Linked DNA regions of Astyanax mexicanus. The protein of the gene in region 4 purifies or fractionates together with the protein of the main gene of each other region. This does not show direct contact. Links are inferred from orthologs where the notes say so. Each region holds a gene or a part of one and is shown on either strand. Other genes may lie near its edges.

The links.
Region 1: the proteins of polr2b (region 4) and uri1 purify together in Homo sapiens (affinity purification with mass spectrometry; 3 studies listed by BioGRID and IntAct, with this or other methods). This does not show direct contact. The link is inferred for Astyanax mexicanus from reciprocal best matches to the Homo sapiens genes POLR2B and URI1.
Region 2: the proteins of polr2b (region 4) and mediator of RNA polymerase II transcription subunit 26 purify together in Homo sapiens (affinity purification with mass spectrometry; 3 studies listed by BioGRID and IntAct, with this or other methods). This does not show direct contact. The link is inferred for Astyanax mexicanus from reciprocal best matches to the Homo sapiens genes POLR2B and MED26.
Region 3: the proteins of polr2b (region 4) and rpap2 purify together in Homo sapiens (affinity purification with mass spectrometry; 3 studies listed by BioGRID and IntAct, with this or other methods). This does not show direct contact. The link is inferred for Astyanax mexicanus from reciprocal best matches to the Homo sapiens genes POLR2B and RPAP2.

Annotation. Positions count from the first base shown.
Region 1 is NC_064416.1:20,395,873-20,403,884, forward strand, and holds the start of uri1 (unconventional prefoldin RPB5 interactor 1), read left to right. Parts: upstream 1-4,989; 5' UTR 4,990-5,326; coding exon 5,327-5,398; intron 5,399-7,584; coding exon 7,585-7,619; intron 7,620-8,012. Other genes in the region: spata2l (spermatogenesis associated 2-like), read left to right, coding at 534-2,018; pdf (peptide deformylase, mitochondrial), read right to left, coding at 3,159-3,316, 3,409-4,003. UniProt on the Homo sapiens protein: Involved in gene transcription regulation. Acts as a transcriptional repressor in concert with the corepressor UXT to regulate androgen receptor (AR) transcription.
Region 2 is NC_064411.1:30,858,720-30,865,546, reverse strand, and holds the start of mediator of RNA polymerase II transcription subunit 26, read right to left. Parts: upstream 3,008-6,827; 5' UTR 2,746-3,007; coding exon 2,674-2,745; intron 1-2,673. Other genes in the region: trnau1apb (tRNA selenocysteine 1-associated protein 1-like), read left to right, coding at 4,438-4,473, 6,134-6,231, 6,484-6,583. UniProt on the Homo sapiens protein: Component of the Mediator complex, a coactivator involved in the regulated transcription of nearly all RNA polymerase II-dependent genes.
Region 3 is NC_064411.1:55,060,755-55,068,210, forward strand, and holds the start of rpap2 (putative RNA polymerase II subunit B1 CTD phosphatase rpap2), read left to right. Parts: upstream 1-4,450; 5' UTR 4,451-4,471; coding exon 4,472-4,523; intron 4,524-4,772; coding exon 4,773-4,818; intron 4,819-5,234; coding exon 5,235-5,349; intron 5,350-6,449; coding exon 6,450-6,548; intron 6,549-7,456.
Region 4 is NC_064426.1:1,740,841-1,748,266, reverse strand, and holds the start of polr2b (DNA-directed RNA polymerase II subunit RPB2), read right to left. Parts: upstream 3,009-7,426; 5' UTR 2,893-3,008; coding exon 2,874-2,892; intron 1,938-2,873; coding exon 1,865-1,937; intron 1,751-1,864; coding exon 1,600-1,750; intron 1,318-1,599; coding exon 1,205-1,317; intron 883-1,204; coding exon 663-882; intron 1-662. Other genes in the region: noa1 (nitric oxide-associated protein 1), read left to right, coding at 4,168-5,458, 6,542-6,706, 7,426-7,426. UniProt on the Homo sapiens protein: Catalytic core component of RNA polymerase II (Pol II), a DNA-dependent RNA polymerase which synthesizes mRNA precursors and many functional non-coding RNAs using the four ribonucleoside triphosphates as substrates.

The DNA.
Region 1 (8,012 bases), on a different chromosome or scaffold from region 4:
TGTGAAAGTGAAAATGTGATAGAAAAGCAAGTCTTCTGACTACATTTTAGTTGTTGTTCTTAAATCAGATTCTTATCATGTTTGTGTCAGGTGTTTAATAACAAGAAGTGACAGTGCATCATTAACAAGCTCAAAGTAGCTCCACACTTCACTTTCAGAGTTTTCAGTTTTAAACGTCAGGGCTCTTGGAATTCCACCATTGAAGTGTAGAGCTACTTTGAGCTTGATAATGGTGTAAAAACAATGATTTCTTTGCAATTCCCCTAAAGATAGCATTGTAAGCCTTTTGGGAGCATTGGCTATATTTCCGAATGCTGGGGGTAAACGGAGAAGGGCTTTAAGTTGGTAATCTTTTCAAGTTTCACAACAATAACTAATCCTGCCAGGAAAATAACCTATGAGCTGTCTTGGCATTAAACCTCTATTTTTACTACTAAGTCAAAGTGTTATTTTAAATATTTCGTATCTGTTATATTTAAGTCTGCACATAATTTAACTGCATTACACAAAGTAACTTATTTCCTTCTCTTCAGATGTTTTCAGGTATGTTCACCCACTATGTCAAACCTGCTCTGACATTACAGCAAGCTGAAGAACTCTTCAGATTATTAGGATACCAGCCTGCAGACACCACTGAAGAGGAGGAGCTGAGGCTAAGTTCTAAACCAGTTCACGCAGACTCTCTTCTTCAGCTGGCTTGTGCTTTCTTCACTGCTCGCATGGAGTGTCAGCTGCTCGGCACTGTGGTTCCTTTGGGTAGTGGTGTGAAATGGGAACTACAACTCATTCGGGAAAGAAAGCTTGGCCACAGCCTGCAAGTTGCACTGGAGAGTGCAAAGAGAAAGCTGCAGCTTGCTCCACAGAGCTCGGAGCATGATACCTCCGCAGAGCTCGATTTATACACAGATGACCATCAGGATCCTGGAGAATGGCCGAAGACTAATCACATGACTGCACCACCCAACAGTCATTACACTCCACCCAAAGGGACACCACTGTCACTCAGGGCTACTACTCAGTCAAAGAAAGAGATTGATGAAAACACTAGTAAGACACAGCCTGTCTGTGTCTCAAAGATGACTTGCCAGATTAGTCCTCCGCAGAAGACAGAGTTGAGTCCAAAGCCACTGAAAACTGAGAATGACAATGAAAAGCAAGTTCCCACACTAACAGGTGGTGCACAGGTCAAGGTTTCAAAAGTGGATCCACAGATATGCAGGTGCTTTGAGTCGTATGACAATTATGCCTATTATTGTGTCCAATGTAAGCAAATTCATAACTTGGAATGTCAGTGGTTGAACAGATGCAGTGAACAAGGGCATGATTTAAGGAAGGTACAGCAACACGGAATGGATGTGCAACCACAACCCACACAAAACTGGGAAAAAGCCCCCAAAGGTAACCTGAAGATGCATAGCTGTATGCAGAGTTCCACCTCTGATGTCTTCCTTGTGTGCCACAACTGCCAAAATATCCATGATTTTCAGTGTGATGGTCTGAGGTACTGTCAACTTATGGAACATACCCTTCAAAAAACAGGAAAAGTACAGCCACCTCAGGAAGAGAGGGATGGGGCTGCCCCACCACGGAGGCACACATGCCTCAGGGCAGAAGATCAACCTCACATAGTGTGCCATACCTGTGAGAAAGTGCATGACTGCCTGTGCAAGGAAGTAGAGAGGTGCAGAGAATCTGGTCATTCGATGGGATATTTGGAGGTAGTGAGCAAAGAAGAAGTGCGCACACCTTCTAGGCCCATAACTTTCCACGAGTGCTGTACCTCAGAACCGCCCATCTTTGTTTGCGTTACTTGCAGAGTCTTCCACTCCATTTCCTGTGATATGCAGTGCTCGGGAAAACATGAAATGGAGAGGCTAAAAGCATTTTGCGCTGTATGTTCATATCATAAAATTCACACACTGTGCAAGTACTGCTGTGCCCAGTATTGCAAAAAATGTTGGTTTAAGAATCCCTTGGAATGCAAGTGTGGTATGCCATTTGAACACTCCGCTGTTTAAATATGTTGTTACAGTTATAGTTTACTTTCTTTGCTGTCACGTCAAAACATTGGATCTCTATTTTTTGCCATGTTTCATTTTTTAATCTGGCAGTTGTTTTCATTTTGTGCCAAAATTACACGATTAAGGGACCAATATAATGCTTTTTATATTAACTTCAATTGAAGGTTAAGGATTTTTTGTCTCCTGTAATGTTGCTGTTTTGTAAGTACAAGGGTTTTGCATGACACCAATGATCTGATTAAATGCACTTTGTCATATTTAAAACACCTATTATTTGTACTCTATTGCTACTGCCAAATAATTATTAAAAAAAACATCACTACAAATAGAAAACTGAATAACAAGAGCACAAAATTACCATTGATGTCTATTGTGTTATACGAGTTGTGAATGTTGTGACATCAGACTACTGACACACAGTCAACAGATTTTCTTTTCTTTAATAAGCCCATATATATAAGTGCCTATATAAATGTTGTCCAGATTGCTTTTTTTTTTTCTTTTTATAATATTTTGTTTTCACCCTTTTTTGCAAAATGAGGTGTCTGCTCTTTGGTTAATGCACAACTGTTGCTGCTACTAAAAATATTAAAATAAATAAAATAGGTGATATGGAATATTATGTTTGTCGTGTGTGATAACCCATTAGAATTTACAGTTCAGAAGTATTTGCTTTTTTTCTTCACCAAGTTCTAGGCAGGTAGATTGCAAATACTAACACATCTTACTTTCATCATTTACTGCTGAGTGTTTTAAGACCAGTTTAAAACTAGTTGAACCACTATCACATGTTTTTTTAACACTTGCAGGAAACTAGTTCATTTACCGGACAGCCTTACATTGCTATAAAGGTTTAACAAAAAAATACAGTATACAAAACATATAACTGGATGTCCTCAAAATAGCCAATATCGTATTTATACCATTAACCATTGGCTTTTTACACATGTAACCATTAATAGTTCTTAAAAGTTCTGTTAAATGTTGTATAAATTAGCCAAAATATTACACAAAGCAACTGTATTATGTAATTTATATTTTATGTGATTAAATGAATATAGACCATTTTTATCAGAAATAAGTCACTTAAAGCAGCTTCCAGACAAGTGTACTCCCAACTTTTAATCAGCAGATCTGCTATTCATTGTATTGTTCCCAGTTCACATTAATGAAAGTTTTACTGTCCATGCGGTCAACGTAAAGAACTCCACCGAGGTGATCCATCTCATGCTGCAGTATCCTTGCAGGCCATCCAGTTGCTTGCCAGGTTACCGACTCTGCTTTTTCATTTAGTCCTTTGGAAAGAAATGTTTATAGATGGTTATCACGATAGATACACTCTTCACAAGCTATACATTATAAGACTATAAGATTATAAGGTTGTTACCTGTGACCTGCACAGAAATATATCGTGGAACAGAGGCAGAGAACCCTGATATGCTTTCACAGCCTTCCTGGAAGGTGACCATCTCTCCATCTAAGATGCGCAGCTGTGGATTAATAAATATCTTTAAGGGAACTGGGACCAGGCCACGGGCCTTGATGGAAGCAGGTAGGCTGTCCTCCAGCATCTTCTCTGGATACTCCAGAGCTATGATCTGGAGAGGTACACCAATCTGGGGTGCACTAAGTCCCACACACTCCAGCCTGCGCATGACCTTCACCAAGGTTTTAATCACTTGCTGCACCTCTGCTCCTCCAATAGCGCTGGGCTCCACTGCTGCAGCCTTGGAGCGCAGCACAGGGTCGCCCACCTGACACACGTGGCTGTATGGAGGTTTTGGTGGGGCTATGACTTTTCTTTTGAGGTACTGAAGGTATGAGCGCGCTTTTTCGTTCGTGGTGTGTCTGCGTACAAGTGCAGGGCATGTTAGTGGACATGGGGAGGAAGTCCTGGGGAAGATCATAACATCATTGGTTGCTGCCTGAAATCTCAAGACACAGGGCAGCAATGTCCTCAAATGTCTGTTTATGACCAGCATCTCAGTGGTCAGGAGTGCAGCTCTGTTTCACCTGTGAATAAAAAAATGCAAGCAAGCTTTTATCATTAACAAATAACTACAGAACAATGCTGGTGTGCAACATCTACCTCTATAACCCTGCATCGCACCAGAGCACAAAACCGTGGCTGTGCTGTTTCATACACAGTGTCTGACCACTGAAATTTCAGCAGTACTTAAACCGATCAAAACCTACTACTTACCTTCACGATTCCCTACTCGCCCCTCACAAGGTCTAGCATGTTCATGGGATCCGGAACATGATTTTTCAAAATAAAAGTTCACATACTTGTGAACATCTCTGTAATAAACAGCACACACATTATATTTTGCATAGCACTTGCATAAGTATATCATTATTTTTATGTAGATTTGATTTTATGGGGGTATTTTTGGCTTTTTAAATTATGTTCTTAAGTACATTATTATGAAAGGTTATTGTGGTGACTTAGAGTTTCTGTCTTCACATGCTTTGTTCCAAAACAGAAGGCGTAAAAAATAAATTAGATTTATACATTTATTCAAGAGACAGTTTTTAAGGACATATACGGACTTTAAACGCTTGTTTGCTTATTTAAGTTCAAACTTTAATTCACAATCCTTGCCCAAATCATAGTTTTTTATGTTCTATTTACTTAGAAATATATATAAAAATATTTTATTAAACTATAGACATATGGATTATTTAACGTTATTATTATTTAACATAAACATTTCTTAATTTATACACAGATGTATTTTGTGTATACATATGTATTCATGTAATAGCTCACTCCAGTCATAGTGGGAATGTTACAGTTGTGTGAAGAGTGTATTGTTTTTTAAATAAAAGAAAAAAGAAAAGAAATCCTTGATTTTCAAATAAAACATCGTGTTAAACTGGGCATGTGTTTGACTTGTAGATCGCTGTTCTCTTTAGACATGCGCAGACCGAGCCTTGCCTCTACAAATCGGGTGCGCGGCGGGTCACGTGTCTTCGCTGTGTTTTTGTTGGGGGACGAACATGGCGCAGACGGACGGACATTGCTGAGGGGATTGCACGCACATAAGCAGAGGAATAATTTTGGAAGAGGAAGATTTTGTGCGATGCGAGTGTGAAATGGTCTCAATCTCGATTTGGACCGTTTCTATCGCCTCATTGATGACTAAAAGGACACCAGGGCTGAGGAATACGTTCACTGGCATTCATAAACATTTCTATAGGACTTCAAACCCCTGAGTGTGGTGGAGGAGGTGGTGGTGGTGGTGGTGGATATACCCAATCAATCTGTGCTTGTGTGAGATACAGGAGGCCCACGGGACGCAATGGCTGGAAATATGAACGCAAATTATGATCTTCCGCAGGGTGTAGAGAGGCTGAAAGAGGAGCACAGAAAGGTAAAGAAAGGGGGTTTGGCTTGTCTGTGGACGCTTTCGGTTTGTGTTTGTTTGCAGCTCGGCAAACATCCTGTTTACACTGTTCACATTACTGTGTGTTAATTCCACACATCTAACTTTGCTTTCATTAGCTTCAGCCGCAGCTGTTTGTCTGTTTTTAGCTAATAGTGAAGTTTAATGAAGTAAAACACCGTAGTTGACTCGCTGCCGTGTGTTGTAACCTTAGTGCTTTCTAGAAAGGGTCAGTCACGTGTTGCATGGCAGCTGGGGTTCAGTTAAATTAATATAAGGGCTGTGCAAAATCCAGAGTTTTATAATCTAAATTAGTTCAGAAAATGAAAATAAACTGAGTCCACCTTACAGGATGTTAAATTGAATTTGAGTTTGAGTTGCAAGAAGTGGAACAATTCATTCTCATTACATATGAATGAGAGTGTGATACTTTTAACATAAAGCAAAATTTTCTTTCAGATGGATTTTCAGACACTAACATTTAAGCATCCATTCCATTAATGTTACATAATTAATATAAAATATATTAATTTCAAACTAATCAAATGAAACTGTGTACTTTACAGGATGGCTAATGTTGTTTCATCTAATAGTCAACAGTTCCTCAGATTTCCTAAATATCCTAATTTGTAAGTTATTAGCTACAGTTGCAATGATTGGTTTTATAGACTATGTATTTAATGTTAATTTGTAATCCATTCAATAATATCTGTATTAAATTAATGTTGTAATCATATGTAACATATACTGTAAAGATTCAATGTTAAATACACCTTAATTGTGTATAATTAAAATCTGTGCGATCCAGTTCTATTTCATCTAATTCAAATCTGAATTGCAATTCTGCTTTCTGTTTGCAACCTCAATTCAAGAATTGAATGGAATTTAGAGCTAATTCTCAATAAAATCCTGATTTTTTTACAACCCTGCTACATGGCAGACCTATCTAGGTAAGCTATTAAATTTGCTGCCTAAATTTGCTAAGGTTAGTTATCATTAACTGTTCTACCCCTACTAAATAATATGTCATTACTCTCAATAATTTAACAGTAATGTGTCTAAAATAATTTTGCATTTAGCAAGGGTTAAAACTATTCTTAGTAAAGTCAATTTAGCAGGCACATAAAATGGCCATCTAGCTAACTACCTAGTAGTGATGCTTTCTACTTACAAAACTTTACAAAACTATTTTTGCCATGAAAAAAAAAATATTTAGATTCAAGAGCCAGTTAATAAAAGGCATATAAGGATGTTAAACACATTTGCTTATTTGAGATGTATGGACATTCATTTGAATGTATGAATTCTGAAGTGAAAAGAACACACTGAAATATTGTCTCTCCTCAAAGAAGAAACATTTTAAAAAGTATGTTTTTGAATAGATTTTAGCTAAATCTGTAATTAATACTTGATCCTCATAATAAAATGACCCAGTATGTTTCAGTGGTAAGTATTCTTTACAGGTGTATTTAGCGCAGAGCCCCTAAATGATCAAGGTTTGTAATACACACACAGTTTTGTTTTAGGCTCATAAAGAGTACTCAAGTTCATTTTATCTTAAAAATCATAAATGCAATCAAAAGTAGCAAGAATATCCTAGATTATATCCTGTGAGCTAGTCTGAAGAACAATGTTTAGTTCCAGATTTCTAGTGGATGCCCTCAGTCAGCATGTGCATGTGTTAATTTCCATCAGCAGTCCACTTAAAATAACATCATTAAGCTCTGATTTGCCAAACCAGGTGTTGATTTGATTATGACTATAAATAAGGCTAGACTTACACAAGGAAATTTACTGAAAATGTCTGAATGAACACTATAAACCTGTTGTTTGTATTTATTGTAATACTAGCCTTTTACTGAGCTAATAAATACTTACTGCCCAGATTAGAAGCCTTTTCATACTGTAATTCCCACTAATTAAAACTTTTGCACAATACTCTATATACTGTGTTTTGCCAGAAAGAAGCAGGCATAAACAGACCTTTCTCTTGATTTAGCACAATGTTGTTTTTGTTTAGAGTGGATGCTTTAGTTGCATTTAGAAAACAATTTACTAATTTGAGGGAACCATATATTTAGTTTAGGAAAGGATTTATTGTTGGAAATTGTTTGTTTTATATGTTTCATTGTGTCCATTATTCTGCAATGTTCTAAAATGACTCCTATGAACAGGTGGTGAAAGACTGCAAAGGACAGATAACACATTGGTGAGTGGTCCTACTGAAGATTCATAAAATGTTAGTCTATTTTCTTGTTTTGCAACTTGTTAAGGTAATTACTGCTATTTAAAAATATATATATAAAGTTTACTGTATACAAATAAGATCCATTGTACAGATGTTTAGTGTTTTGGCATTATAATTTTAGTATGTGAGTTGAATGGTTCCAAATGGAAATTGTGCTCTCTCTGGGAGGATGGGATGGCCCACCCTCAACATTCGGCTTGAAGCTAGTCAGTAAGGATGTCTGTTAACTTGCAGATAGGTCTTCTTTTTGTGTTCTTCTGCAACCGCATTTAACTGTCTAAAGCACGTTCTAACTTTCACCCAGTGCTGTTTGCATTATGAGTAATGTGAGATACTTATCTAACAAGTTGGAAT
Region 2 (6,827 bases), on a different chromosome or scaffold from region 4:
TTTGCACATTTGTCTTCTGGTTTGTCAATTTACTATTGCCTATAGTCCTATTAACTAGTCAATGCTGCACTGTCCAAATAGCTGTGTCGCTCAAGGTTTGTGTCCATGTTGCGCAGTTCTACCAAACTTGTCAGTGTGGACGAAGTTATGACGTGTTCTACTTTCCATAGTAGACGTTACACTGCTCTAGCTTAGCACTGCAGATGTTGGTTTAACAATTCAATACTCTATGTGTCACCTAGAAGTTACACTACTCTACCTGAGGTTATCTAGAGGTTACACTATATAAGTAATTGTTGAATGTTACACTACTCTATCCATTTTCAGCTAGATGTTACATTTTAGCTGTTATGTCTTAATATTATACTACTCTAGCCGATGTGTGAGATGTTATTCTACTCTAGATTACATTAACAACATTTTACATCATTTTAGCCATTAGTTATTGCCTAGATGTTACACTACTTTGGCTGATGTAAGTGAGATGTTACTTATACTTAAACTTATTCTTTGTTGCCCAGCTGTTCCATACAACACTTTAACTAATGTCAGCTAGATGTTTTACTAATTAGCTGATGTTGCCTAGATGTTACACTAATCTATCTGATTCCAGTTAGATGTTGCATATTTATAGCCAGTGTTGCCTAGATGTTACAGTACTCAAGCTGATGTACGTGAGATGTTACCTAAACTTATTCTTTGTTGCCCAGCTGTTACATACACTACTCTAACTAATGTCAGCTAGATGTTACACTAATCTATCTGATTCCACTTAGATGATCATTTTTACTACTGGTTGTTGCCTAGCTGTTACACTATTCTAACTTATGTCAGTGAGATTTTCACCTAGATTTTAGACATTGTTACCTAGATGTTACAGTACTCTAGCTGAAATTGGTGAGATGTTACTAGGGCTGGGAATCAAAATTCTGTACCAATAAGGTACTGACCAAAATATCTCTGTAATACAGAGTACCAAAATGTAATCTGGTGCCCGTTTTTCGAGACTTCTAAACTGGCGTGTGACACAACATGCTCATTGTTTGATTATTCCAACAAGATCCAAAAGTATGGCAGTCTCTCATGGTGACCGTATGAGAATGAATTTTCTCATGTCTCTGTCTGTTAAATACATGCTCTGTGAGAATATTTATCGCTTTTTGTATGGTTACAATCTACAAAAAAAGTATTGTTTGGGCATCCGTACTGATTTTTTTTAATGATATCCAGCCCTAGATCTTACACTATTTTAGCTGATGTCAGTTAGTTGTTGTTGCCTAGATGTTACACTACTTTAGCTGGTGTTGGTTTAATGTTAACACAATTCTCATCAAAACTGATGTCAGTGGTGTTATGTAATTTTTTTTTTTCAATTGTTGCCTAGATGTTAGCTACAGTACACAAGCCAAAGTTAGCTACGGTCTTACAGCAATACCTGATGTTAAACTACTCTAGATTTCGTAAGCTAGCTGAGTGTCATAGTCCTCTGTTTGATGTTACCTGGATGTTAGCTAGTTTAAATATCTTTAGCCAACTTTGTTTAGGTGTTGTAATGAAATATCCTTATTTGTTGCTAATGGTACCTGGGAACTGACAGCTAGCTTAACAGCACTTAATCTCGTTCAGGTAGAACTTTAGACGATTTAAAATCGTAGTTATTGTCCTGTAAGCTTCTGTACTCACTTTAGCATCAACAGAGTGTCAATTTAACTAACTTAAACATCGTCTGACAGCGAGATCTAACTTGTTATTTAAAAAAAACATCGCGGTTTTCCAAAAAGTTGACATACAGCCCAAGACAAGTTAGCTAGCGCTAGCTAACTAACAGTTAGCCATGTGGCTAAAGCTAGGCGACCGTCTATCCAACGTTACATAGCTTAGTTAGATTAGCTAGCAAAGTTGTTAACATTTATTTGGTGTGGACATACTTTCACTGAACGTTTTAAACAGTTGTATATGTTAAAATTCGTGTTTGTGTAGTTGTGAGGGGAAACTGAGAAGTACAACTTTTCTGCAAAGTCTGAAAATGATGTAGTTAGCTTAGCATGGCTAGTTAGCGTTAGCAGGGTTAGCTTAGCTAGCTGGCGGCTAACGGTGATCATTGTGTAACTTGTGTCAGAAGGCAAACGAAGCTTTTGTTATGGAGGGGAAAGTAAACGATGTGGCCGCTATTATATCGCGGGAAGGCGCGGATTGAGTTAATAAAGGTGTTAAACGGTGATGCCAAAGTTTTGCGTTTCGCTCGCCAACTTTGGCTAACAGCTAGCCAGCTGGATCAATTGCCATCTTTTAAACACCAACCTAGCTAGCTAACGCTAGGCAAGTTAACGTTAGCAGCTTCTCATTTGATCTTTTCCAGTCCACCTTAAATGGTGCTGCACTTTCAACGCGTAGCCTGAAGCGCCTGAGTGTGACTGCCGCACTAGTAACAGTCGTTATTTAAGGTGGAACGGAGAAGATGTGAAGAGAAGCTACCTAACCTAGCTAGTTAGCTAACTTTATCCATGTCCATTATCGTTTTAATCTACGCAAAGCGATACGCGGTGTGTATTCGCAGTCTGGAGGATCTCAGGAGTGTGATGGTGAGGTGCTTTAAACGAGTACCCGCAGAGTTCAGCACTCTCCCCCGGGGCTGGCTGGCCGCCGGCCGGCCGGCTAACGGCAGCTACTCACATTGCTGTGGCTATCGATGGCCTGCAGCAGCCGGTCTCTCATCTGCTGCGGGGTCGCCGAGGCGGTTGTCATTGCCTGCTCGGAGCGAGTCGACGCGCCGACGGGGGAAAAACCCTCCGGGTTCGGGGCTGCGGGCTCAGCGGGGACTCACAGACCGCGGCGGGCGCTCGGAGCGGACGGGAACCGCATATTGGTAAGGTGATCCTCGGCTCGTGGATGTATGAACGGTGTCAGGCGGACAGCGAGGGCTGGACAGTGGAGTCTCTCCGCTTCATAGCTCACTGTCTGTCTGTCCCTCCCTCCGCGATACCACACTGCTAAAGCACGGCCCCGCTGCATTGTGGGAAGCTAAAACTCTCAAAAACGTCATTACGTCATTAGCGTGGCAGTGGAGCTCTGTGTCATAAATAAATAAATCAAAATAAATAAGTAAATAAATTCAGTTTCTGAATCAGTTTCTCTGATTAAACTATCCATAGGTATATGCTTGATTAAAACGAACATTGGGGTTTTATTCTATAAACTACGGACGAAATTTCTCCCAAATTCCAAATATAAATATTGTAACAGAGCATTTATTTGCAGAAAATGAGAAATAGTCAAATTAAGGAAAAAGATACAGGGCTTTCAATCCTCAAATAATGCAAAGAAGACAAGTTCATATTCATTTAAAAACAACAACAACAATACTAAAGTTGTATCTTGGGAAGAGATCAGAATCAATAATTGGTAGAATAACCCAGATTTTTAATCACAGCTTTCATGTGTCTCGGCATGCTCTCCACCTGTCTTTCACACTGCTTTTGGGGGACCTTATGCCACTCCTGCTGCGGAAATTCAAGCAGTTCAGTTTGTTTGATTTCCTGTGACCATCTATCTTCCTCTTGATTACATTCCATATATTTTTTTATTAGGGTTCATGGCTAAATATCGGGCTGGCCATGAGACTGTCTTGATCGGGTGGTCCTTCATCCACACCTTAATTGATCTAGCTGTGTGGAATTGCGCATTGGAAACAAAGCTGAACTGCTTGAACATTTTTTTGCCAGGAGTGGAATAAGGTCACCCAAAAGCAGTGTGAAAGACTTGTGGAGAGCATACCAAGATGTATGAAAGCAGTGATTCAAAATCAGGGTTATTCCACCAAATATTGATCTCTGAACGTAGGATTGTTGTTTCTAAATGAATATCAACGTGTTTTCTTTGGGTTTAGGGTTTGAAAGCACTGTACCTTTTACATTATTTTGACAATTTTTGACATTTTCGTCAAATAAATGATCTAAATGACAATATTTGTATTTGTAACTGTATTTGTATTTGCAAATGTTATCAGTGGTTTATATAACTAAACCACAAGGGTAATTTTACTAGCAAAATTATATGGATCATTTTAAAGTGGTGCCTTGTTTTCAGAGCTGTATACTGTATAAATATCAAATGTGTAATTATATGTTTGTATTTTGGCTGTGACTTGTTCCCACCTGTATTCACTGCATTCACACCTGCCTAAATAAACTGCATCAGGGGTGAAAACCGAAAGCGAATCGGAGTCCTGTTAAACCCGTTTAACTGTAAAGGGCGCAGTGCTGTGGCTGTGGTAGGTAGGGGGCGCTACTCTCCCCGTATATGATCCCGCACTGAACATACACACAGGGGGAGGAGAGGCCGGACAGGCTGCTCTGAGTAACACAGCTAGTTTAACACACACCGAGTTTATTTCAGTTTAAACTCAGGCTTAGGGTCAGTGTGCGGACCGGCAGCAGCATGTTTAACCGAATGACCAGCCTGTGGATGGGGGACGTGAGTGTTAAACCGAACTTTTAACTCTAAAACTCTTAATTATACAGCGGTTAACTGCTGTGGGTTATGAAGCTGTAGACACGAGTTAGCATCGTGCTAACGTTACGTAGCATTAGCTTACTGACTGAGTTAAGCAAGGAGCTAGCTTAGCCTAGCGTAACTAGCTAATAAACAACTATATTTACCTCTTTAACACGTTATCTTTACTTAACCCTGGATATATCTGTTTATTTTATATTAAACTGAGTCAACTCTGACAGGAATGTGAGACTAGCTCTCATAAAGCTCATAGCTTTATGTCGTTAGCTAGCGTTAGGTAAAGTTAGCCTCTTATTTCCGTTCCACCTTAAACCAACAGCTGCTGGTTCTCTCATGATCAGATATTTAAAGTGAAATGGGACGTTTCTATAAGATTTACTGAAGCTACGAGCTTAGTAAGCTAGTTTTTAGTGCAGAAGTCACAAAAGTTAAACTTTACAAATAACTATAGTTAGCTAGCTTACACAGAAATGTGGACACCCCTGAGTTGTAGGCTTAACAAGTAGTTAACTAGCTAACTAATAGATTAATATGCTATTTGTCTGTCTGGCTTACTTCAGTTAAAGCTACAAATTTGTAAATCTACAGCTCTGAGAAAAAAGAGAGACCATTTCAGTTTCTTAATCAGTTTGTCTGATTTTGCTATTTATTGGTATATGTTTAAGTTAAATAAATATTGTTATTTTATTCTATAAACCACGGACACTTTCTTCCAAGTTACAAATACAGATATAGTCATTTGGAGCATTTATTTGCAGAAAAAAGAAATGGCTGAAATAACAAGAAAAGGCAAAGCTTTCAAATCGCAAATAATGCAAAGAAAACAAGTTTTTATTCATAAAGTTTTAAGAGTTCAGAATTCAATATTTGGTGGAATAAACCTGATTTTTAATCACAGTTTCATCCATCGTGGCATTTTCTCCTCCACCAGTCTTACACACTGCTTTTGGATAACTTTATGCTACTCCTGGTGCAAAAATTCAAGCAGCTCAGCTTGGTTTGATGGCTTGTGATCATCTATCTTCCTCTTGATTATATTCCACTAAGGTTTTCACTTCTTCTTTTTAAGTGGTCCCTTATTTTTTCCAGAGCTGTTTAGTGAAGTCAATTTACAATTGTAACTAACCTTGTTAGTCTATGTACCTTAAATATAGAGATGCACATGTCTGTGCAAATACCTGTGTAAGTAAAAAAAATCATTAACTACATAAAAATACCTTCTTAAAATAATCACCTTCTCAAATAAACTCTTTTTTTTTTTTTTTAGAAAACATGGCTTATGAGAGTTGTTATGGTTGGCAGTATCAACCTTATTAACAGTATCAACCCAATAGTTTTAATTTCACTCCAATCACTTATACACAGGTTGCATTATTATTATCTTTACATTTTGGATCAGTTCTGGTGAAATTCCTGTATTTTTATTATGGCAATATATACTGTACTGTCAGTTTTTCGTATGTCATGCAGCCCTATATGGAACAGAGGGATAATGACAGTTAAATAGCCTAAGGCTATAAAGGGAATGTTTTAAGCACTTTTCTTTAAATTAGAATTCTTATTGTTTTAATTGTTTTAGTCAACACTAGCTCTGTACTAGTTTTATGCTTTTATTTTACAGCTGGACCCATACATGGATGAAAACTTCATCAAGCAGGCATTCAGCACAATGGGGGAGACGGCCTATGGTGTGAAAATCATAACGCACAGAGTCACAGGGTAAGAATTTTGACCTTTAGCTATTGGTAGAAGTGTTCTCTGACGGTATTTTGCAACACAGCAATAATGCAGTTGCTTCAGAGAAGAAGTTCAACATATTAATCTGTATCAATGTATTTGTATGTTTAACAAAATGTCCTGTGTGCAATATGTGAATAATAGATTGTTCTAAGTTGTTTTGGTTGTAATCTCACAGTGCTGTTGATCTCTCACTCTCTCCCTTTCTCCCACTCTTCCTCTCCCTCTCTCCAGAGGCTCAGCGGGGTACTGCTTCGTGGAGTTGGCAGATGAAGCCAGCGTGGATCGATGTGTTCAGAGACTGAATGGGAAGCTGGTTCCAGGGTCAAATCCTGTGAGTGCTGAGATTAATTATTTCATATTTATTTATATTCATAGATTTAATATTCATTTATTTAGAGTTTAGAAGTTTATCCAGCACAGCCCCCACCTGCTATGATTAAGACTCCACAGTATTTCTGTATAAGTAGTGATTCGGAGACTCAGAGCTGAATGTCTTCCTGAATAAAGGTGGTGAAGGCTGTTTGTAATTGACTTTGTTTGAAGCTGGTGAATAAACTCTGTTAGGAAGTAGCTGA
Region 3 (7,456 bases), on a different chromosome or scaffold from region 4:
TTACTGAACACTAACCTACCTAGTCAGTGAGTTAGCTAGTTTACCTAGGTCATCTGGTCAGTGAGTTAGTGGGTTAGCTAAGCTAGTTAGGTTACCTAGTCAGTGAGTTAGCTAGTTAACCTAGGTTATCTGGTCAGCGAGTTAGCTAGCTACTTAACCTAGGTCATCTGGTCAGTGAGTTAGCTAGCTACTTAACCTAGGTCATCTGGTCAGTGAGTTAGTGGGTTAGCTAAGCTAGTTAGGTTACCTAGTCAGTGAGTTAGCTAGTTAACCTAGGTTATCTGGTCAGCGAGTTAGCTAGCTACTTAACCTAGGTCATCTGGTCAGTGAGTTAGCTAGCTACTTAACCTAGGTCATCTGGTCAGTGAGTTAGTGGGTTAGCTAAGCTAGTTAGGTTACCTAGTCAGTGAGCTAGTGGGTTAGCTAAGCTAGTTATTATGCCCCAGGGTAAAGCCAAGTAAGTGCTGATTACGGTTAACTAGCTAACTCACTGACTAGGTAACCTAACTAGCTTAGCTAACCCACTAACTCACTGACCAGATGACCTAGGTAAACTAGCTAACTCACTGACTAGGTAGGTTAGTGTTCACTAACTAACTAGTATAATTTAAGCATGGATATTTAGCACACCCCGCTAACATGAGCATCTTAATAGAGTTAAACACTTACTTAAAAAAGAAATATAACATTAAACATAACGTCTGTATGAAATTTAATTGGAAAAGTACCTGCTGGTGCTGCTGTGAGCTGAACCCCGTTCGCTCCGCCATGTTTGGAAGAGCGCTTGAAGCTGGCGGGGTGGGCGTGTTCTGTCTCAGACGAGGGTTCAGGGTAGGTGACCAATAGAGATTAAAGGGGAACGCCTTCTTCTAAGCCCCGCCCACCCGTGAAAAGTGTGCCAAAAATCAGAAGCAAAAAAATGAAGCAGAAGCAAAGGAGAGATTCCAGAAGCAAAAGTCTTTAGCAGCAAAATCCACAAAAATCCACAGAAAATCCAAAAAAATCCAAAAATGAAAGCAAAGACTGGCAAAATCCAAACTAAAATAATTTTCAAATAAGTGCAAAGAATAATAAAATAACCAAATATATTTAAATATATATATTTGATATATATTTTTTCTCTTTTGAATTTGCAACATACATGTTTTACTTTTGATTCTTAAAATTTTGATTGTGGATTTTATTTTTTTACGTAAAACTTTTGGCACAAAATTCACTCCATACACCATGACCAACCTGGCCAAAACAATATGATCAGTTTGATGACCAGCTTGTTCCAAGAGGGTCCAACACCATGACCAATCTGACCATAACAATATGACCAGCTTGATGGCCAGCTTGTTCCACAATGGTCCAACTGGCCACAATAATATGACCAGCTTGGTCTATGAGGGTCCAACACCATGACCAACTTGGCCAAAAGAATATTACCAGCTTGATGGCCAGCTTGGTTCATGAGGATCCAACACCATGACCAACCTGGCCAAAAAAATATGACCATCTTGTTTCAAAACAATATGACCAGCTTGGTCCAAAACTATATGAGCATCTTAATGAGCAGCATGGTCCATGAGGATCCAACACCATTACCAACCTGGCCACAACAATATGACCAGCTTGGTCCCCAAGGGTCCAACCCCAGGATCAACCTGGCCAAAACAATATGACCAGCTTGGTGCAAGAGGGTCCAACACCATGACCAACCTGGCCAAAACAATATGACCAGCTTGATGGCCAGCTTGGTCCATGAGGGTCCAACACCATGACCAACTTGACCATAACAACGTGACCAACTTGATAACCAGCATGGTCCATGATGAGCCAACACCATGACCAACCTTACCATAACAATGTGACCGCATGATCCATAAGGGTCCAACACCATGACCAACTTGACCATAACAACGTGACCAACTTGATAACCAGCATGGTCCATGATGAGCCAACACCATGACCAACTTTGCCAAAAGAATATGACTAGCTTAATGACCAGCTTGGTCCACGAGGGTCCAACACAATGACCAACCTGGCCAAAACATTATGACTTGATTGGCCCATATGTGTCCAACACCATGACCAATCTGGCCACAACAATATGACCAGCTTGATCTAAAACGATATTACCAGTTTGATGAGCAGCTTGGTCCACATGGGTCCAACACCATGACCAATCTGGCCACAACAATATGACCAGCTTAATGACCAGCTTAGTCCAAGAGGGTCGAACTGCAGGAGAATACACAATAACTACAGGCTACTACAATACAAAACTACAGTTATATTATCTACATAATACTAAAACTTAATTTACACACATTTTAACTCGTATTTATGCAGTAAAAGACTCAGTGTGGTTATAAATGAGTATAATAAGCCCTGGTCTGAGATCAGCAGTCTGGTGTAAAGTGCGTATAAGAATTGGTAGAGCTGTAATGCGGGCAGATCCAGGGCTCGTGCGCTACACAGCACGCGGATCAGCACATGGGTAACCGGAATAAACAGTAATAATGCTACACCGCGCTGTAATGAATCTACACTAATGCAGAATATCATCCAGAACTCACTGCGGGGGAAAAGCTGCGGGAAAAGCTGAGAAACGCTCTGAGAGCCGCCGCTCAGCTACACGCCTCTCCTCAACACAGGCAACGCAGTTTACAACACAACTGTCCCTCCTCGCTCGCCGTAGAGCTGTGATGTCATGATGAGAGCGTCTCAAATCCAGTGGAAGTGCCCTACGTAGGGAGCCTCTCGACACTTGGGCATAAGTGTATGGAGCACAAGACATACGCATAAATAAATAGATACCTAAATAAATAAAGTGGTCTGTAGATAAATCAATAAATATACAATTATATAAATAAATACATAAATTAATAAATACATTCATTTTATCCTTACATATATAAAAGAAATCTTTCATCCATTAACTTTTATTTGTCCTGTTTCTGAGTTTTTACATTTATTTATTTATTTATTGATTTATTTATTTAATAATTATTTATTTATTGACGAATCTATTTATATATATATATAGCTTGTAAAATAGATAAACTAATAATTCTACTTATAAATAAACAAATAAATGAATTAATACACAATTATATGAAAATACATACGATTGTAAAATAGATAAATAAATAATTATATTTAAAAAATAATAAATAAATAAATAAATACACAATTATATTAATAAATACACGAATAAACAAATACACAATTATATTAATAAATACATGAATAAATAAATAAATACAAATAAATACATACATAATACCTAAATACTTCGATACATAAATAAATAAATAATAATAATAATAATAATAATAATAATAATAATAATAATAATAATAATAATAATAATAATTTTGTCCTGGAAAAGGTAATAATTACATTTATGTCATATCTTATATATTTTTTGTGGATTCAAAGAAAATTTAATCTCCCATTTATAGCCCTAAATACTTGTTTGTGTTTTTTTTTTGTCCTTACACTATATTTAGCTTAACTTAGCTTAACTTATAATGGATAAATTATTCGTATAAATAAACAAATAAACGAATTAATACACAGTTATATAGATAATTACATAAATACATAAATAAATACATATGTTTAGTCATTTATTTGTATTTATTTTCTTCACTTTTTTTTTTTTACGTATCACCATATTTCTTTATTTATTTATTTCTGTATTTATATGTTAATTAGTTAGGCGGTCCATTCCTCGCTGAGTATATTGTTAGTGGATTAAAAAGTGAATTTAATCTCTCATTTAAAGCCCCAAACTCTTGTTAAAAACAGCTTAGATTGTAAAGTAGATAAATAAATAATCCTATTTAAAAATAAATAAATACATACATTTTTCTTTTATTGTTTTATTGATGAATTTCTACATTTCTTCACGTATTTATTTACGTACCACCATATTTCTTTATTTATTTATTCCTGTATTTATATGTTAATTAGTTAGGCGGTCCTTTCCTCTCTGAGTATATTGTTAGTGGATAAAAAAGTGAATGTAATCTCTCATTTATAGCCCCAAACGCAAAACAAAAAATAAATACACAACTATATGTAAACAAATACATAAATAAATATATAAATAAATACATACGTACATTAATACATAAATACTTCAATAGATACATACATAAATGAATAAAGGCATTTTGTACTGAAAAAAATAATATTTACTTTTATATCAGAAATATATTTTTACATAATATGTTTTATTTGATTTTTAATGGACTGCGTAATATATTGTATAACAATACAATCAAATATTGACATATTGTCCAGCTGTGATCATAAATATATTACAGTCTCATGATGCTGTTGTGGAGACATCATCAGAAGGGGAAGCCATATCTCAAATCTCAAATCCTTCTGTTAACCCGGAAGCTGACTACATAGTGAACAGGGGAAAGATTTGGGACGCGCCCCCGCGCGATTTGTTTTGAAGGCAGAAAGCATGGACGCCGGGGAGAAGAGGAGAGTTCGCTCCTCTAAAGGCAGAAAGAAAGGCGAGTTAAAGCTGTAGTTTAATAAATAATGATGTTATTAATGTGGATATTAATGTTAAATATCTATATAAAGTATAAACTGTACAGAAAGCTCATTTATCTGGGTTAGTTAGGCTGTGGGTAACTGAACTCTGATGACTTGCTGGTTTCACTCTCAGCTCTGCTTCAGTTAATGAAGGTTTTTTGTGTATTTTTTTCCCAATTAAATAGTAATAATTTTAATAATGTTTTATTTATTGTGTGTTACAGGAGGGAGGGATCCTCCAGCCAGGTCAGCTGCTGAGGAGGCCAGGAGGTAAGATAATATAACTATAATTAAAAAAATATATAAACTCATATATTATTATATAGATGTAATAAACATAGAGTGATCTATTATAAGTGTTTATTTCTTTTATTGTTGATGATTATGGCTTACAGCCAATGAAAAAACCCAAAAATCAGTATTTCAGAAAATTAGAATATTATATAATAAGACCAATTCATACTTTTGGTACGCAGTGTGGTCAGTGTGAAGCCAAGTCCTGCTGGAAAATGAAATCCACATCTCTATAAAAGTTGTCAGTAGCAGAGGGAAGCTGTAGGATATGAAGTGCTGTAAGATTTTGTGGGAAAACTGCACTGCACTGACTTTATTAGACTTGATATTAAAACACAGTGGATCAACACCAGCAGATGACAGACATGACTCTCCAATCCATCTGTTAACAGGAGGGAGGTTCTGAAGGAGACGCTGAGGGAGAAGTTGGAGTTGGAGAGGAGGGCTCGGCACGTTGTGGAGCGTCTGCTGGACGATAGCGTGACGGAGGAGCTTTTAATCGACTGTGTGAGATTACCGACTCGAGCTACTACATGAATTATACACAATTAGAGCTATTCTAATCATACATTTACCTCAGCAGTGCAATTCTATTAGCAGTGCTATTCTAATCTTAAATACACATACGCAGTCCTGTTCTACTCACAAATCTACCCAAGTAGAGCTATTCTAATTATATATTTGTAGGGGTGGGCAAAATGGCCCTAAAAAAATATCACAATATTTCATGGTATTTTTGCGATAACGATACTCTAATGCACTTTATATATCTCCATATGTCTCAAAAGTGCTGCAGTTAAATGAATGATACTGGACATATATAATATCTAGTCTCTAGTAGATGTTAAATGGGAAACATCCCAGTGTGAATTTTTCTTTTGCTAAAAACAGCAAGGGATATGGCACAATATTTCAGGGTGTAAAATTGTTCACGATATTCAAAAATGTTGGCGATAATATAGTGTACGAATTGAAATGTCACACCCCTATATATTTGCCTCAGTAGCAGAGCAGTAGTAATGGTGCTGCCATTGCCATTGAGGTAAAGTAAACACTATTATATATATATATATATGCCTTTTTAATACATTAATTATGCATTATTTTCTTTATATTTTTATATATTTTATATATCCTCTTGAGACCCTACGTCCTCATATGTGGCCATTAAATTTCTGCTTCTCTGCACCCTGATAATAAATTATTATAATAATTTTTTTAAACGTTGACCCTTTGGCCTCATATTGAGATACTGCCCATAGCAACTAGTATTATACTCAATTGATTAAAAAAAAAAGATGGCGGGAATCCCAATCAAAAGTTTTTACAGCCAGTCCAGGCAGATAAATGGTCCAGGTAACAATTCTTATTGAATTTTATGTTTGAAAGTAGTTAATTTACTTACTGTAGAGTTGGGTCCTTCTGATCCCAAATGGCAAGAATATAACTGTCCCCATATAAGGACAAAGACGAAGTTTATATTTTATATTTGGTAGATCCTGCTAATCTCCAATATCTAGGATATATTAAAAATATACACTAAGCAAAAGTCTGGGTCTGAAGAGGATATTCACAAAAGTGTTTTATTTGCTGTTTTGGTGTTTCAGGCTCGACTCATCACTCCAGCAAACTATAAAGATGCGGTGGAGGAACGCTCCATCGCTAAAATGTGTGGATATCCTGTATGTCCAAACAAGCTGACCAGTGTAAGAACCTTATTTATAATAACGGTGATTAAGCTCTGAGTGAGTGTGCTGGGTGCTGGATCACTATTCAATATATTATTACTATACTGTGCTGTTTAGCTTATTTTGATTGGTTGATTTGTTTCTGTTTTCCTCTTTTACATAATACAATTTTTAAGGGAGGTTTTTGATCTTAATATATATATATTTTTTTTTTTTATTTCTGTGTATTTAATTAAATATATATAATATTAAGTATATATAACAATTAAAAGTGTTCAATAAATAAAACACATACTTTGTTTAACTCTCAGCAAAGCCAGACAGTTTTGTTTTCCCACAAAATCTTACAGCACTTCATGCTTCTTCCCTCTGCTACTGACAACTTTTATGGAGATGCAGATTTCATTTTCCAGCAGGACTTGGCTTCACACTGCCCACACTGCTTCGCAAAAAAACAGTTGGTCTTATATAATGTTCTAATTTTCTGAGACACTGATTTTTGGGTTTTCATTGGCTGTAATCCATAATCATCAACAATAAAAGAAATAAATGCTTGAAATAGATCACCCTGTGTTTAATACATCTATATGATACAGCTCTTCACCATTTCAAAATTTCTTTCATTTTACCAAATTGAAAACCTCTGGAATATAATCAAGAGGAAGATGGATGATCACAAACCATCAAACCACCAAACTGAACTGCTTGAATTTTTTGCACCAGGAGTAAAGCAGTATAAAGTTATCCAAAAGCAGTGTGTAAGACTGGTGGAGGAGAACATGATGCCAAGATGCATGAAAAAAAACTGTGATTAAAAACCACCAGGGTTATTCCACCAAATATTGATTATTTCTAAACTCTTTATGAATATGAACTTGTTTTCTTTGCATTATTTGAGGTCTGAAAGCTCTGCATCTTTTTTTTTT
Region 4 (7,426 bases):
ATTACTGTTTTCACAATTCTTTAAAAAACAAATATATCAGTAAAAATGCAATTTAAATAAATCACCAAGCCCTAGAACTAGACCTGTCAAAATAACAATATTTTGTGGTTTACTGTGAAACAATTTTACTGTGCATATTAAAGACCAATAAATTGCACTGATTTAATGATTACAAAAAAGCAAAACAAAGCATGCATACCCTTTTAAAGTCAACATTATGATTAATTACCACAATTCTCAAATATTATTGAGGTCATGTCCATTTATTGTATGATAAGTCAATAACGTGCTTAAAGTAACTGAAAGTATAAATAAAAAAAAAAGAAATTTTAAACAAATTACAATAAAAAAAAAGCAATGAACGTTTTCATCAAATTTTTTTTTTTTTTTTTGCCAGCCACAAACAAGTCCACTAAAAGCACTGTTAATCATTACAGTAAATAAAATATAATTTATTTTTCTATTTCTTTAAAGCTGGGAAGGCACGGGTAACTTCCATATTTAAATCACATTAGGCATTTATCTGCAACCTAACCTGGATTTTGTCTTCAAAATATCTAATCTAAACGTTTAAATAGAGCAAAAAGAGAGTATATGAAACATTTATAAACGATGATAAAGTGGTATTTATAATAAGATGAAATCAGCTATCAGATCCTGACCTTCTCGGAGCCGTTGATGATGAAGTAGCCCCCCGGGTCCAGGGGACACTCGTTCAGCTCACAGAGATCACGGTCCGTCAGGCCGCTGAGGAGACAGTAGGTGGAGCGGAGCATGATGGGAATTTTGCCGATGAAGGTTTTCTGGTGCTGCGTCTGAAGCTGCTCCTCTCCCTCCTTTATGATGGTCTTGGTGATGTCCACGTACAGAGGAGCCGAGTACCTGAACCAGCAGAGCATTTTACACAATAAATCACACAACTTTTAACATCTTATTCTTACATTTTCACATAATTATCTGAACTTTCTACTCCTTACATTTTAATAAAAACAACCTATTTAGTTTCAGCTGGTTTTCATTCCGGCTTCTCATCGTTCAAGAAAACCCCTATCCAGATAAATCTCTCCATCCAGATAGAGTGAATCTGATTGTGATTGGATGAAGAGAAGTCTAAACATATACCATTCCGACTCCCTATTGGTTTATTGGTTTATACTATGATCCATCACACCTGCACACGCCCCCCAAAGGCTGTTGTACTCACGTGAGGTTTCGGAGTCTGGCCTCATTGGGCATCATGGGTGATGGAGCTCCATCTCTTTCCCAGTGTGTTGGTTTGGACAAATAGATCTGCTCAAACTTCAGCAGATACCGAGGCTACAAAAAAAAAAAAAAAAAAAAAAAAAAAAAAAATCACATTAAAAAAAAAACTTTCACAAACAGCATTTTATGTTTTATTGATGAATAAAAACAGAGTTTAGGCCTGTCACAATTAACTTTTTTTGATAACCTATTGTACAAAATCACTGGAAAAAAACACTATTTAAACAAAGCTGACGTTAGGGGTGGGCGATATAAAATAATATTAATAATTATTATATTATTGTTATTATAATAACAGATGCTAGATATGTGCAATCACATTCGGCATTAACTTACCGGTTCCTCCACCTCTCCGGAGGTGTGCTGAGCTTCAGCCTGTAGGTCTATGGGTGGAGCATCCTCCACGATCCTCTGAACAGACATCTGAATAAACTCATCAAATGAGTCCAGCTGCTGTCGCACCAGGCCCTTCTCATCAAAGTAGGAGCTGGAGAATAAAGAAGAGAAAGCATATTTTTAACATCTGGCCAGTGGACATTTGATTTAGAACAAAATGCTTAAATAACAGAGTTCAATGTATTAAAGCAGCAACATTATCTACCTGATAACAATCCAGCAGGCTTCCTGCCACAGATCTGGGGTGATTTCATCATCATCTTCATCATACTGGATATCTGGAGAAAGAAAGGGAGAGGTTTATTCTCAGAGACTAAACTACATTTTCAGCAGACTATCAGATTCTCAGTGCATCAACAGCAGCAAATAAATCTGGTTTAATCAAGGCCAGAGGTAGCTATAGCTCAGCTTAGGCTATGATCTTACCCACCCAAACAGGAGATGAGAAACTTTATATCTTTACCTATAGATAATAGCAAAACAGTTTCTAATTTTTAAAACATTTCAAGTGCTGCAGATATAGGAACAGCCAGTAGAAAACCTTAATAATTTGTGTGAATTAAAAATTAACCAACAAACCTTTTTTTCTAGAGCTGTATATATTATATATTAGGTTTATTTGAGCATACGATTGGTCAATTCAGAATGCAGTCAACATGTAAACTGAGTGCAAACAAGTAACTACAAGAATCTAACTGAAACAGAGATATATTTTTTATTTTACTGAAATAAATCATATTGGTAAAATGCAATCAATAACAAGACATAACTTTTATTACTATATATATATATTACGTACTGATAACCGTCCTATAATCAGTATGAATAATATAAAAAAAAAACACGTGAAAATATGCCCACAACATTCCTACAAACTTCTGAAACACTTGCCTAGGTTAGCTAACAGCTAGCTACCTAAACTTTATTTATTTAACTAGATACGCTTTTTTATTATATATTCTAGTACAAACAAAGCTTAAAATCACCCGCTGATATAATTTAAAGAGTGATTATCGAAAAATAAACTGCATTTATTACTGAAATAAAGCAGAAATCCCAGTATTTTGAGTCTTAAATGAGAGAATAGTCTGTTGTCTATAAAGAGCTGCTAAGCTAACATGCTAACTACGTTGTGTTAACGCGCAGTTTACAGCACATTAAACCGAATTACGAAGCAGAACAGAGTATTTAAGCTTCCAGCGCTTTAAACAAACCTTCATCCTGATCATACATGATGTTTACTGTTGTTTACAGCCTTGTTTACGGTAAACAAACACAAAAACGTCCCGTTAAAACGCGCTGTATCTGTTCACCGAGCCGCCGGCGCGCGCGTGGCGTCACTTCTGGTGCTCGCGACCGAATTGTACGTTCATATATGTGATCTCTTGCTTTTACTAGGAATAAGGTTTTAATTGATTTGTGTGAGTTTTAATTACAATTATATAATTATTTAATCATATGTGTCACTTTGACTAATAAAAAATAAACAAATCTTATGTATTTTTGTTTACTGCAAAGTATTATACTGAAAATGGAAAAATCTTAAATAATATATATTTTTTCGTTACTTAAGTAAAATATATCAATAAAAAAACTCCTAAAAAAATGTTAATAACCCCAAAAATACGGCATTTTTTAACATCTATGATAGATTGTTTAGAAAATAAATTAACAAAAAATATTTTTACTCTTTCTCTCTTTTCATAATAACTAATGATAATGAGTTAAGCTAGTGTTACATATTGTATTGTATTAGTGCACTATATCAATTGTACACAATATATTACACAATCCAATAAAATAAAAAAACATTCATATATTATTTTACAACATTTTATTTATATAAATATTTTATAATTAGTTATTTTGAATGTAAAAAATCAAATCGTACTTGTTTATTCTTAATGCAAGATTTGAATTCATGTATTATGTCAGTTATTTACAATATATTACACAATCCAGTAAAGTAAAAAAAGACACGTTGATTAATTATTACTATTACTAGTTTTTTATTGTATTGTATATGTATACTTTATTTTAAAACATAATAAAACAGTTTGGCGATTAAATACTTTTCTTCTTCTTCTTTTTTTTTTAGAAAATAGCGTAAGTGTCATTATATTAGCATCCGGTGCTCTGTCGATTTGTGCTATTGAGCTATATATGGTCTCAGTCGTTCTACGCACACAATTTGACACGCTTTTACATATTTATATGTTGTTTTTTATCATAATAAATTAAACAAATATTTTTTCTATACTTTTACTGAAAGCATCGTTGTTCAAATCTCGTTTGCTATCCCAATTATTACAAAATACACAGCACGGCAACAAGTTTTGACCAGGTAGCAGAAATCGACACAACACTGATGACGTCTTTTACCAGCGACAGACGAAAACACTCCTCCTGTCTGTGTTCACGTGTGTTCGTGAGTTGATCTGAGATTTCTTTTTGTAATGTATAAATGTTTATATCGGTTTATTGATATATATTGCTTATGTTATCACGATGTTTAAATTATTACAGCTATCTGCGGTTCAGTTTTCGTCTCTTAAATGTTTAAAACGTGTGTCAGAGCTAGAAAACAGAAGATGGTGTCACCTTTACTCGGGTCTTCTGTCTCAAAGTAGCAGAAACAGCTGTGTTTCAGTTGACAGGACTAAATGCTTAAGATTAAGATTTCACACCACTGTGACAGTGACTTTAAAAGACTCTGAAAGAACTGAAATACATAAAGAAAGACTTCAGTCATTATCAGGATCATCTTCATTATCTTCCACTCTACATCCTAATCAGACCAAAGCAGTGTACTCCTCTGTAGAGCCAGATAAAGAGGAGGAGTTTGCTTTTCTTGAGTTTTCTGATGTTCAGGACCAAGAACAAGAAGATGTTCCAGAGCATCTTCGCGTAACTGAGTCCATGAAGGTCAAAGAGGACAAAGCGCCCAAGATTACCAGCGCAGAGCTGCGGCACAAGGCCTTGGAGCTTCAATTGAAGTCGTTGAGAGATGTTGCCACCAAGGAGGTGGACCAAGAGGCGTCCATTGAGTTCCACGACGAGGGATTTCCACTGGAAAAGTCATCTAATAAGAAGAAATTGAAAAAGAAGCAAGAGCATAAAGTCTACGGTACGCCGGACGCAGAAGTTCCAGTAAGTGACTCCTGCTGCACCGGCTGTGGTGCCCTGATGCACTGTACCATCCCTGAAGTACCTGGGTACCTCCCCAGCGAGAAGTTCAAACAGCTGATCGAGGAGGACTCCTTAAAGCAGGCGGTGTGCCAGCGCTGCTTCCTACTCGTCCACCACCAGAAAGCTCTGAATGTCACAATGTCCAAAGAGGAATACAGGAAAATAGTCGGTAAAATAAAGTCTCAGAAAGCGCTGGTGCTGCTCATCGTGGATCTTCTGGATCTCCCAGACTCCATCGTCCCAGACCTGCCGCAACTCGTGGGCCAAAACAAGCATGTGGTGATTTTGGGGAACAAAGTGGACCTGCTGCCTGGAGACACAGATAACTACCTGAAGAGGATCAGAGGGCAGCTGGCGCAGTATTGTGCAGACGCAGGTGTAGCCATCACTGACCAAAAAGACATCCATCTCATCAGTGCTAAGACTGGGTACGGCATAGAGAACCTGATCACCAGGCTGCAGATGTCCTGGAAGTATAAGGGGGATGTGTATCTGGTTGGCACCGCCAACGCTGGCAAGTCTACGCTGTTCAACACCCTGCTGGAGTCTGACTACTGCAAGTCCAGAGCCTCAGACGTGATCCACAAAGCCACCATTTCTCCATGGCCAGGTAATATATATTATATATATATTCTCTCGAAGATATACACACACACTCACCATAACATTCTGACCAAAAATGTGTAGTTGAGATGAAGAAATACTTCACTACTGTACTTAAGTACTAAAATACTGTATCTATATCTACTAGAGTATTATTTTTACTTCACTTCTTAAGTAATTAGGTACCAAAACACTGTATCTGTATCTATTGAAGTATTATTTATTACTTCACTACTTAAGTACTAAAATACTGTATCTGTACTCTAATGATACTTCATTGCATATTTTAGATGAGTTTATTTTTTAATCGTTTTTTTATGTGCTGAATTATTACTAGAGACCTTGACTTGAGTAAAACGAAAAGTGCTCGGTCAAAAAAGTGAATTAAGTAGAAGTGTTTTTTAAGCTTTACACTTAAGTGGAAGTACTAAAGTATTTAACGTTTTCTGTACTCAAGTATTGCAAGTAGTTTGTTGTAAAATGTAGTACTAAAATACTGAAAATCTCCAGTAGATACAGATACAGCATTTTAGTACTTCAGTACAGTAGTGAAGTAAAAATAATACTTCAGTAGATACAGATACAGGATTTTAGTACCCAAGTACAGTAGTGAAGTAGTAAAAATAATACTTCAGTAGATACAGATACATCATTTTAGTACTAAAGTACAGTAATGAAGTAAAAATAATACTCCAGTAGATACAGATACAGCATTTTAGTACTTCAGTATGGTAGTAAAGTAAAAATAATACTTCAGTAGATACAGATACAGTATTTTAGTACTTCAGTATGGTAGTAAAGTAAAAATAATACTTCAGTAGATACAGATACAGTATTTTAGTACTAAAGTACAGTAATGAAGTAAAAATAATACTCCAGTAGATACAGATACAGTATTTTAGTACTTCAGTATGGTAGTAAAGTAAAAATAATACTTCAGTAGATATAGATACAGGATTTTAGTACCCAAGTACAGTAGTGAAGTAGTAAAAATAATACTCCAGTAGATACAGTATTTATGTAGTATCTGTAATTATAGAACTATACACTTATTATAGAACACACTCTGTTTTCATCCTTGTTTATGAAGGAACAACACTGAACCTGCTGAAGTTTCCCATCATCAATCCAACACCGTACCGGCTGTTCCGGCGGGCGGAGCGTCTGCGCCTCGCGGCCCAGGAGACGGAGGAGGACCTCAGCCCGGAGGAGCTGAAGAGGATCAGGCAGTTCAGCAGGCAGGGGTACCTGGTCGGTGAGTAGAGAACCTGCTGTAACCTTTATGCTACAACAATAGAGTAGAGGTACTTAGAGTTTAGCTTTAACTTTATTGTACTGAATAGAACCCTGATCTTTATCAGTGTGTAAAACTACCTCCACCATGTTTAAAAGCTGTACTTTACTTTGGGGGTCTTACTTACAGTAAGAGTGTATGAAACTACCTCCACCATGTTTAAAAGCTGTACTTTAGCATGAAGTCTATCTGCTTCTTAATGGCGCTCTTTTAAGCCACCTAGAGAAAATTCAAATAATAAAAGGTTATAATTCTATATATTATCAAAAATAAAAGTGATTTTTCATTGGCATTGCTCAAAGAATCACATGAGGACATGGATTTAACTTTCTTTTTTTTCGCTGTAAAATAAACAGGATATAGTCCAGGGTTATTCCTGATTTGAGTCTAGGAAATCGACAAACTCTCTTTAATAAACACAGTATTTATACCCTCTTATTATCTGTTGTAGGCATCAATGTTCTTTGGGGTCAAGAACATTTTAAAACCAGATGTTTTAACAGGGAGGTCTTTTGTAAAGAATATAATAATAATTATAATAAGTCAACAAACACATATAACATGACATAATCTGTAAAAATGTATTTCTAATAATTTTCTGAAGGTTTAAAATTCTGGGGTCCAATTAACCCCAAATAGAAATATCAGTAGCTTTATATAAATCAGAGATCTGATTGCAGG